Linked DNA regions of Arabidopsis thaliana. The protein of the gene in region 1 interacts with the protein of each later gene in a pairwise test. Each region holds a gene or a part of one and is shown in the gene's direction. Other genes may lie near its edges.

The links. The genes of interacting proteins can lie anywhere in the genome.
Region 2: the proteins of RSL2 (region 1) and SYD interact in a two-hybrid assay, tested with the Arabidopsis thaliana proteins (one large-scale study listed by BioGRID).

Annotation. Positions count from the first base shown.
Region 1 is NC_003075.7:16,238,173-16,243,079, reverse strand, and holds RSL2 (ROOT HAIR DEFECTIVE 6-LIKE 2), read left to right. Parts: upstream 1-1,910; 5' UTR 1,911-2,027; coding exon 2,028-2,567; intron 2,568-2,660; coding exon 2,661-2,966; intron 2,967-3,074; coding exon 3,075-3,140; intron 3,141-3,271; coding exon 3,272-3,337; intron 3,338-3,433; coding exon 3,434-3,514; 3' UTR 3,515-3,717; downstream 3,718-4,907. UniProt on the Arabidopsis thaliana protein: Transcription factor involved in the regulation of root hair elongation. Does not seem to be a direct transcriptional target of RHD6 and RSL1. Involved in the regulation of root hair elongation in response to low phosphate.
Region 2 is NC_003071.7:12,054,280-12,059,186, forward strand, and holds the start of SYD (P-loop containing nucleoside triphosphate hydrolases superfamily protein), read left to right. Parts: upstream 1-2,491; coding exon 2,492-2,599; intron 2,600-2,693; coding exon 2,694-2,755; intron 2,756-3,003; coding exon 3,004-3,119; intron 3,120-3,216; coding exon 3,217-3,606; intron 3,607-3,707; coding exon 3,708-3,763; intron 3,764-4,280; coding exon 4,281-4,441; intron 4,442-4,528; coding exon 4,529-4,593; intron 4,594-4,675; coding exon 4,676-4,907. Other genes in the region: AT2G28270 (Cysteine/Histidine-rich C1 domain family protein), read left to right, coding at 1-119. UniProt on the Arabidopsis thaliana protein: Catalytic component of the chromatin structure-remodeling complex (RSC), which is involved in transcription regulation and nucleosome positioning.

The DNA of each region.
Region 1 (4,907 bases):
ATGAACTCTTTATTTTCTGCTACACAGTTATTTTATCCATGGAACTTGACAACTTAAGCAACCAAAGACTTCGCGATTCTTATTTTAATATAAAATAACTACTAAGTTGTCAAGGGCGTTAGAGGAAGAGCTTTTGTGTTCTTAGTTTCGTAAATTAGATGGTTAATTTTTAAATGTTTCATCAAAAACACAATATCAAAAGAAAATAATAATAAATTTAAACAATATATGTAGATTAAAACTTCAAATCACAAAATAGATGGGAAAAAACCGGCCGGTTTTTGGGTCACTACAAGTTGGCGTTTTTCAAAGTATAGGCTTGATTTGTCATTTGTTTCTAATTTCGCATCAACTTGACCTAAAAGTGAATTACGCTTAATGTCGAAATATTCCATTCCTTAGTTTATTTCGGTTTTGATATAATAATTACAACTAAAAATTAGGATAATCCAAGTATTGTCATAATACACAAACTGACAAACGCAATAATTTTCTCTCGTAAGTCGTCGTACCTCTTTAATCCGTTATTGATTGGTTCAAGGTTAGATTTTTACATGATTTAATCATCGAATAGACGAGAAATATGTCTAGCCGTCTAGGTCCATAGAGTATGCATCATTTTGTAATCTATTTTAATCACATTAGCACATAAATCTAGTCAGTGCATATTCGAAAAAAAACACAGCTGACAACAAATATAGAAATTGAAAAAAAATGTAAAAGTAGAAAGAGACAATGTACATAAATCTATATCTTTGTGTTTGTGTTGTATAGGTATTCAGTATTCTAGTTAGATAATTTCTCTTTAGAAGTCGTATAGCATATGGATATGCTTCTATCTAAATATAATATATTTGAAATTTGTAAGGATTTTGGATAAGTTTTGATTTTTTTTTCTAGTCAGCGGGTGAGTGGGAAAATATCATTCTTTCTACTCAGACCCAATAGTTTCTCGATTGTTTGTTACTTTGTAAAGTAAAAAATGCTTAATACTTTAATGCGTTGTATAATTATGCAGAATTTTAGTTTAAGCTATAAATTATAATACACTTATAGCTAATCAATATATAGGAATATTCTTACTATATGTAGAATATTGGAGAATTTTTTTTTTTACTATTAAAATAAAAATAAGTCTTGCTTATATCATGGCAGGTTGAACTATATGGGGACCTAACTACATGTCATTAGGGGAAAAACATTCATATCATAGGTATCATATGACGTTATGATATGAAGTTTTTTTTAAGGTGGATCAACACTTGTGAATTGTATTTACTCGATACTCAACATCAAAACTCGCGATCTCAACGGATTGGCGCAATTAGAAAGCAGTTTATGGGGTCTAACCGTAAGTTCAGTGTTCCCAAGAATTTGAATCATAGTTGTGTGCAAAAAAACTCATTAATATAAACTATACGTTCATGAGTTTTTAACACATCTACTATTTCATCGAGTGAGTTTGCAAAAAACACTTTTGCTAAGAAATCTGTTTATCTCTTATTACTCGGATGCTAACGAAACATGGAAGTCGATAAAATTATAATGAGCTAAGCTAAGAGCTCTTCCAATTTTGATCCTAAATATGCAGTGAATACGGCCACCACAATCATTTCTCATATGAACTAGTATATCAACCAACTATAATCTTGTTTTTAACTTAAAACGATGTATTTAACATATATAAGTGAAGCCATTAACAAGCAGAAATGCAGAATCATAAACGACAAACGACAAATATATATTAAACTTAATGTTCGATGACCAAGTTGCAGAGAGCCCACCATAATTAGCTGTCCATATCTAATGGTATCCCAGACTTGGTTATTTACAAATTAATTAGAAAGATGATTAACTAGTGTCATTATGTGTTGACATTTATTTATCCACTATCTCTCATGTTCTCTATATATACATTCCAACTCCTCTTCCTCATTCCCTCACTTCTCACAAGACTTCCAACTAACAATCTTCTTAATTAAGATTAATCTCTTAATTAAGACGCTTAGTTAACAAAACATATAAAAATGGAAGCCATGGGAGAATGGAGCAACAACCTCGGAGGAATGTACACTTATGCAACCGAGGAAGCCGATTTCATGAACCAGCTTCTCGCCTCTTATGATCATCCTGGCACCGGCTCATCCTCCGGCGCAGCAGCCAGTGGTGACCACCAAGGCTTGTATTGGAACCTTGGTTCTCATCACAACCACCTTAGCCTCGTGTCTGAAGCCGGTAGCTTCTGTTTCTCTCAAGAGAGCAGCAGCTACAGCGCTGGGAACAGCGGATATTACACCGTTGTTCCACCCACGGTTGAAGAGAACCAAAATGAGACAATGGACTTTGGGATGGAAGATGTGACCATCAATACAAACTCATACCTTGTTGGTGAGGAGACAAGTGAGTGTGACGTTGAGAAATACTCTTCTGGAAAGACTCTTATGCCTTTGGAAACCGTAGTGGAGAACCACGATGACGAGGAAAGCTTGTTGCAATCTGAGATCTCTGTGACTACTACAAAATCTCTCACCGGCTCCAAAAAGAGATCCCGTGCCACATCTACTGATGTAAGTCTTTAATTTTCGAACTGGTTGGCAATTAGCTAGAGAGATCACATTTGGTTTAGTGACTAATATAGAAACGGTTTGCCATGGACTCAGAAAAACAAGAGAGCAAGAGTGAATAAGAGGGCCCAGAAGAACGTAGAGATGAGTGGGGATAACAATGAAGGAGAAGAGGAAGAAGGAGAGACGAAGTTGAAGAAAAGAAAGAATGGGGCAATGATGAGTAGACAGAACTCAAGCACCACTTTCTGTACGGAGGAAGAATCAAACTGCGCTGATCAAGACGGTGGAGGAGAAGACTCATCCTCTAAGGAAGATGATCCCTCAAAGGCCCTCAACCTCAATGGTAAAACAAGAGCCAGTCGTGGTGCAGCCACCGATCCTCAAAGCCTCTATGCAAGGGTAAATTGCTTTGTTTGTTTCCCACAAAAAAGATAAAATATCAAATTTTTATGGAAGATTATGTTTCAAAAAATTAATTTGGTTTTTTATTATTTTTTTGTCGTGCAGAAAAGAAGAGAAAGGATTAACGAGAGACTAAGGATTTTACAAAATCTCGTCCCCAATGGAACAAAGGTAAAAAAAAAAACTCATGCAAACGTTTAAACATGCAGAAGATATGGCTCTTTTACATGCAAATTCATTAATTATACAAGAAATTGTTAATAAAGATTCTAAACATTTACAATTGCTTAAATACGTAACAGGTCGATATTAGTACAATGCTTGAGGAAGCAGTTCATTACGTCAAATTTTTGCAGCTCCAAATTAAGGTAAGCAAGGGTTTTAAATACAAATCGTTTTTTTTTTGTACGTTCAATTGTTATATGAATATGATCTAACTAATATTTTAAAATATAATTACGCAGTTATTGAGCTCTGATGATCTATGGATGTATGCGCCGATTGCTTTCAATGGGATGGACATTGGTCTCAGCTCACCGAGATGAAGCAGAAAACTTGTGATTTTAGTTGGATATTTTCTCTTATATATAACCAAAAATGTAATATTCTTTTTCTTTTTTAATATTCTCCGCCTTCGGACGAGTTCGATTATAAATTCTCGTACGATGTTCAAATATGAGAGAAATGGAGAGTCACGTTCGATTTTTTTTATACTTTCATTTTCTTTTATATCACATATTTACATTTCAATTCTTATGTTTCATCTGTTCAATCGATAGTTTTAATACTTATCAGGATCATAAGATCTATACCTTAAACAGTTTACACTCAATCTGATCACCGTTTTATTTAATGATCAAGGGACATATATGATTATTTTTAATCTGATCACCGTTCGAAGAATACCTAATGAATGGAGAGTTATTATTATAATATTAAAATAAAAAATAAAAAATGAAGAGGTCTGACAAACGAATGAAGAAAGGTCTGACAAAAGAGGTAATAGTTGAAAATGTGAATGTGCTAATAATAACTTAACAAAGTAACTTCTATTTAAGAAATGTGAATGTACATCATTTTGGTTGAAATGTGTGTGATATTTAATATTTAGGCGGAATTTGTTTTCATTTTTTTTAGGCTTAATTAAAATGGTAAGTTCATTCCAAAGAAAATCCTTTTTCACTAGGAGTAAAACCCTATTTTACAAAATTAGTTGTGATGCGAAAAACAAATGCTCATCAATTAATCAATGCACTCATTTGTGAAGGATGAAATATCAAATATGACCACTTAAAAACTTCGGCCGCAACATTTTCTTTCTCACACGTATATTCATGAATGAGACCAATTCATACTTTATGTTTAGTTTATAATTTTACAATGGAATATTCAGTACTAATTTTGCGTATATGATTTTCCACTGTCGGATTTATAAAAAAGTATAATTGTTCCCATGCAATAGCTGTGTTTAGACCTTATAGTATATAAAAATAACAGTTATACCTTGCCAAAAGTTCGAATATATGATATATAAAAGGATATTAAATTAGTTTCTTGAGATATCTATCTAATAGTCCAAAGCATTTAAAAGTGGCTGGAATAGCATATCCAACTTATTTCCCCACTAAAATATTATCGCAATCAATCATATTCATGGCAATCAATATCAGATATTTGATTTTTTATTTCTGCTTAATTGATGGATTTATGACAAATTAAAACTACTGTTGCGAAGAAAAAAATTACAACTACTGTTCTACAACTTTATCTATATTTTGAACGGCCAATTTTAATAGCAATTATGAAACCCTTATAGCATTGAAATCTAATGAATATCTAATTTTATAGTATTTCAGTCTTAGAATTTATTGAAAAACCCATCAAAAACAACAAATAAAACGAAAAAAACTGTACTACTTCTAAATGTGTCTCATAGAG
Region 2 (4,907 bases), on another chromosome or scaffold:
TGGAGGCTGAAAAAGAGATGAGAGAGATGGCGATAATACATCAACTACAGTTAGATGCTCTTGACGCAGCAGGTAGTTATGTCGGTTCATGGGAACCAAGGAGAAAAGATTATTGGTAAATGATGAATCTTGGGAGGACCATCAAACTTTGTTTGAATTATATTCTTTTGTTTTCATTCTGATATCGTTCTTTCTTTGTATGGTTTGCAAATTATTATTTTTCATGTGGCTTGTTGTAATGTTATGAAATAAAAATAGTTATATATTTTGCTGTTTGATTTATATTCACCGATTCTGATTGATGCTTATATATTACTTTGTTTCCATCGCTTCTAAATGTCAAATGATAATATTCTAAGATCATAGCAATTGAGATCACATGCTTAAACAACAAACAACGACATTTTTTTCACGAATCCAGTCTTACTATTAGAGGAATAACGAATCAAGAAAAGGTTGTTAAGAGAGAAAAAGAAAACAAATTCATTCTCATTCATCTTAATTGGGACCGGAAAGATTACATTGGAACCTCTTATATAGTAAGAGATACTCTAAAACTGAGATAAGTAAACACCACAAAACAAAATTAAGAGATTAGGGTGTGTTTGGGATTTGCACTGAGCTTGGAACATAAGAGCACACAAGTGGGTAACAAAACTTGTCTCTAGATTCGCCAAGATCCACTTTACTCAAGATTCCATTATTTCCAATGATGTAAGCAATATTGCGAGCGGGAAGGTGACATTTGTCTATTATCTCTTTATCAAGAACAACCGCGACCTTCTTCTCCTCGTCAACGAAGAAACTCCTACCGACATTAGGAAACCAAAAACCAGCGACTGGTTTCATATCAACAGCAAATAACAAGTTGCTCCACGACACTGCATTAGGCTCAATCTTATTAGTAATCCATATCTCGACGACGGATGCCCGGTGAAACAGCACCGCAAGCTGCTCTTCTCTAACACTAGCAAGCGTCACAGTATCTCCAAATACGGCTCGGAAAGGCAGAGGCAGACGCGGTTCAAATCTTGAAATCAAAGGATAGTAGAAAATCAGGGTGATCTAGTGATGGTAGACCATGAAATGGGATCTCTTCTAGGGCATACCAGTAAGTGTTTCCCTTTAGAGACACGCCACTGTGTTTGTACAAAATATACCAGTCTGGAGTGAAATCATCAATGACCTCCCATGAATTGGAGTATAAACTGTAAATCTGAAGCTCACGAATTCGGTCCCTACTGGTCTCCAAGTACTCATTCACGAATCTCAAGATTTTGTGATTCTTTTTCTCGTATCCGAGAGCGTACTTCACGCACTTGTGGTAGATAGAATTTCTAGGTAATTCGATATACCTTGTTTGTCCCAAATAAGGGTTCCAAACAACAACCCTAGAAGAGTCTTTGTCTCTGTCCTTGTTGATGCATAAGAATAAACCCTTGGCAGTGAAAGATTTTAGATATTTTGATTCCATCTGCATTGAGATTACCTATAGGATCTATAGACGGAGAGAGTAGATCTACGCTCATCAAGGAAACTCTATAGTCCATCATCATCACCACCTCAATTCCATTCCTCTGTTTCTTCTTTAAAAAGCTCTCACTTTTCGTTATAGTGTTCCACTTTTTGCAGGTCAATCGCAGTTTCCCCAGAGATTTCACCGGAACCCTAGAGAGCACCTCCTCCTCCATATCAATTGGAAGATCGAACATCTTCGAATCGAATCTCCCAAAATCTCTCTCTCTTTTCCGTGTCTATCAATCCATCTCTTCACGCCCTCTTTTAGTGATATAACTTATCTTTTTCAATTTGGGCTTTATGGTAATGGGTCAAGGCCCATTAAGGGGTCTCGTTTAGAACTCTTGATTAATGTCTGAAATAAGTTTTATACATTTCTTCATTTGGAGAGTCATTTCGCAGAGACGACGCATAGCTTCTTCACTTGTCAGCTCTCAACGTTTCTCACCTGAAATTTCACTTCTGCTTCGTCTTCTCGAGCCGGATCTCTAATTTGTAAAGCTCCCTCTCTCTTTCTTCTTGTTCTTCTTCGTCTCCTTCTACACTGATGGATCGTTATTTAGCTATTTAGGGTTTTGTGAGTTGCATTAACTAGAGTAACTCGCGAATTCTTCTCCTTTGCCTTGCGATTTGGGGAATTTTTTAGCTCCATCAGCCAATTTTACAATTTTGTATGTATCCGTGGATTTATCACATGAATTGTGGACCTCTGAGTTTTTTTTTTTTGTTAGGTTCTTCTCGCTTTAGTTTTGCTTTTAGGTACATAAATTTTCCTCCTTTATGATTTACTTGCTCTTGGGCTATTTTCTTTTATTTGTTTGGTATGGAGTATGGACTCTAGAGTTTAGTTTAGTTTTTTTTTTTGGGCACATTGGTTGGAATTAGTCTTGTTTTATTCTGAATTGTGTAATCAATATCTGCATGCTTGTGGTGATGCAGGGAATTCTTATGTGATGGTGTAATTTAAGTTAAGATGACGTCTTCTTCGCATAATATTGAGTTGGAAGCAGCTAAGTTTCTGCATAAACTTATTCAAGATTCTAAAGATGAACCTGCAAAGCTAGCAACTAAACTTTATGTGGTAATGTGGCTTCACCACTCAGTGTATGTTTTATTTTGTAATTTTGAGCTTTATTCCTGTGCTTTAACTTTGTTTATTCTTTCGATTACTCTAGATATTGCAGCACATGAAAACCAGTGGAAAGGAAAACACAATGCCCTATCAAGTCATATCTAGGTATTGTTTTCCTTATATATCGTCGCTGGTTATTTGTTAATGAATTACTGATTAGGTTGAGATGATATAATCTTCTTACGCTGTGAGGACGTGGGGGCTGCTTCTTACTGAATCAGTTGCTTTAGCCTTTATCTAACTCAAGACTTTAGAATCTAGTTATTCTGGGTCTTTCAGCGTCAAGCTGTTTCTCATGCTTTCAAAGATTTATCACTTTTGTTTTACTGATAAAGTCTTTCTAAAACTCCCAGGGCCATGGACACTGTAGTCAATCAACACGGTCTTGACATTGAAGCTTTGAAGTCCTCGTGTCTTCCTCATCCTGGTGGTACCCAAACGGAAGATTCTGGGTCTGCACATTTGGCTGGTATATCCTCTCTCCTTTGTTTCAGTTGAGTGTTTCAATTGTTTTTTTTATTTATTTATTTATTATCTTAAGCTTCTTGCATCAATGTGGAATACAGGGTCTTCCCAAGCGGTTGGAGTTAGCAATGAGGGTAAAGCAACTCTAGTTGAAAATGAGATGACAAAATACGATGCATTCACTTCTGGTAGGCAGCTTGGTGGATCAAACAGTGCGTCACAAACCTTTTACCAAGGGTCTGGAACTCAAAGTAACAGATCATTTGATCGTGAGAGTCCATCCAACTTGGATTCTACGTCTGGAATTTCTCAACCTCACAATCGTAGTGAGACAATGAATCAAAGAGATGTCAAGTCGAGTGGAAAGAGAAAGAGAGGTGAATCATCACTTTCATGGGACCAGAATATGGATAACTCTCAAATATTTGATAGCCACAAGATTGATGATCAAACTGGAGAAGTAAGCAAAATAGAAATGCCCGGTAATTCAGGTAGGGATATTTGCTTCAACATTGTTTCTTACAGAACAAAGCATATCCTTTTTAATCTAGAATATAAGAAGCACCCTACAATTGTTGCCATTAAACCTCAGGTGACATTAGGAATTTGCATGTTGGGTTGTCCTCAGATGCATTCACGACTCCACAGGTACATAACACTAAGTTTCCCGAATCCATCCAGATTATATACATATTGTGTACATAACATTAGGTTTATGAAATCATTTTGAGCCTCCCTGACTCTGCCAATTTCAAATATTTTGGGACTTTGTGCTACACGTATCTGATGCACAATAACTTCTTAAGAATGTATAAAGAGATATATGCTGGCACATGGTGGCTTATTCTCCGAAACATTTGTCTCTCCTTAGAAGTATTATTTTCTTATCTATTTTCGTTTTCTGTATTGGAAATATGAAAAAAATGCTTGCATTTCCCGTGGTGATTTTCTTTGTTTTTTAACCTAAAAAACTTAGATGCCACTAAATTCACTTTTTCAAAAACGTGATTTGATTAAAACTTTGCCTTCTATATGATGTATTGAATCTTACTTGCATATAGTCTGACTTAGGCTCTGCAAAATGTCCTTTCCTCTTTTATTTCATACCAAGATACCTCGTTGGAACTCATCCCCTCTATATGTGGGATCTTATTTTCTATGGCAGTGTGGCTGGCAGAGCAGTGAAGCCACAGCAATCAGGCCTGCAATTCATAAAGAACCTGGAAATAATGTTGCAGGAGAGGGATTCCTGCCTTCAGGTTCACCTTTTAGAGAGCAACAACTGAAGCAGCTCAGAGCCCAGTGCCTTGTGTTTCTAGCTCTTAGGTACCTTACAGTCTCCTAGCCTCTGTATACTCCTTTTGGTGCGGCAATTGTAACTCTAAAAATTTCTGGTTGATTTTCATCTCGTAGAAATGGTTTGGTACCGAAGAAACTTCACGTAGAGATTGCCCTTCGAAATACTTTCCGCGAAGAAGGTAATGTTGGTGCTCACTGAAGTTACTTTCGAATCCACTTTTTACATGCTTTCCCTTGGATCATAATTGGTCTTCATTACAGATGGTTTCCGCGGAGAATTGTTTGATCCGAAAGGGAGAACACATACGTCCAGTGATCTGGGTGGCATTCCTGACGTCTCTGCACTGTTGTCAAGAACAGACAATCCCACTGGAAGATTGGATGAAATGGACTTCTCATCCAAAGAAACTGAGAGATCAAGACTAGGGGAAAAAAGTTTCGCAAATACTGTATTTTCTGACGGGCAAAAGCTTCTAGCATCTAGAATTCCCAG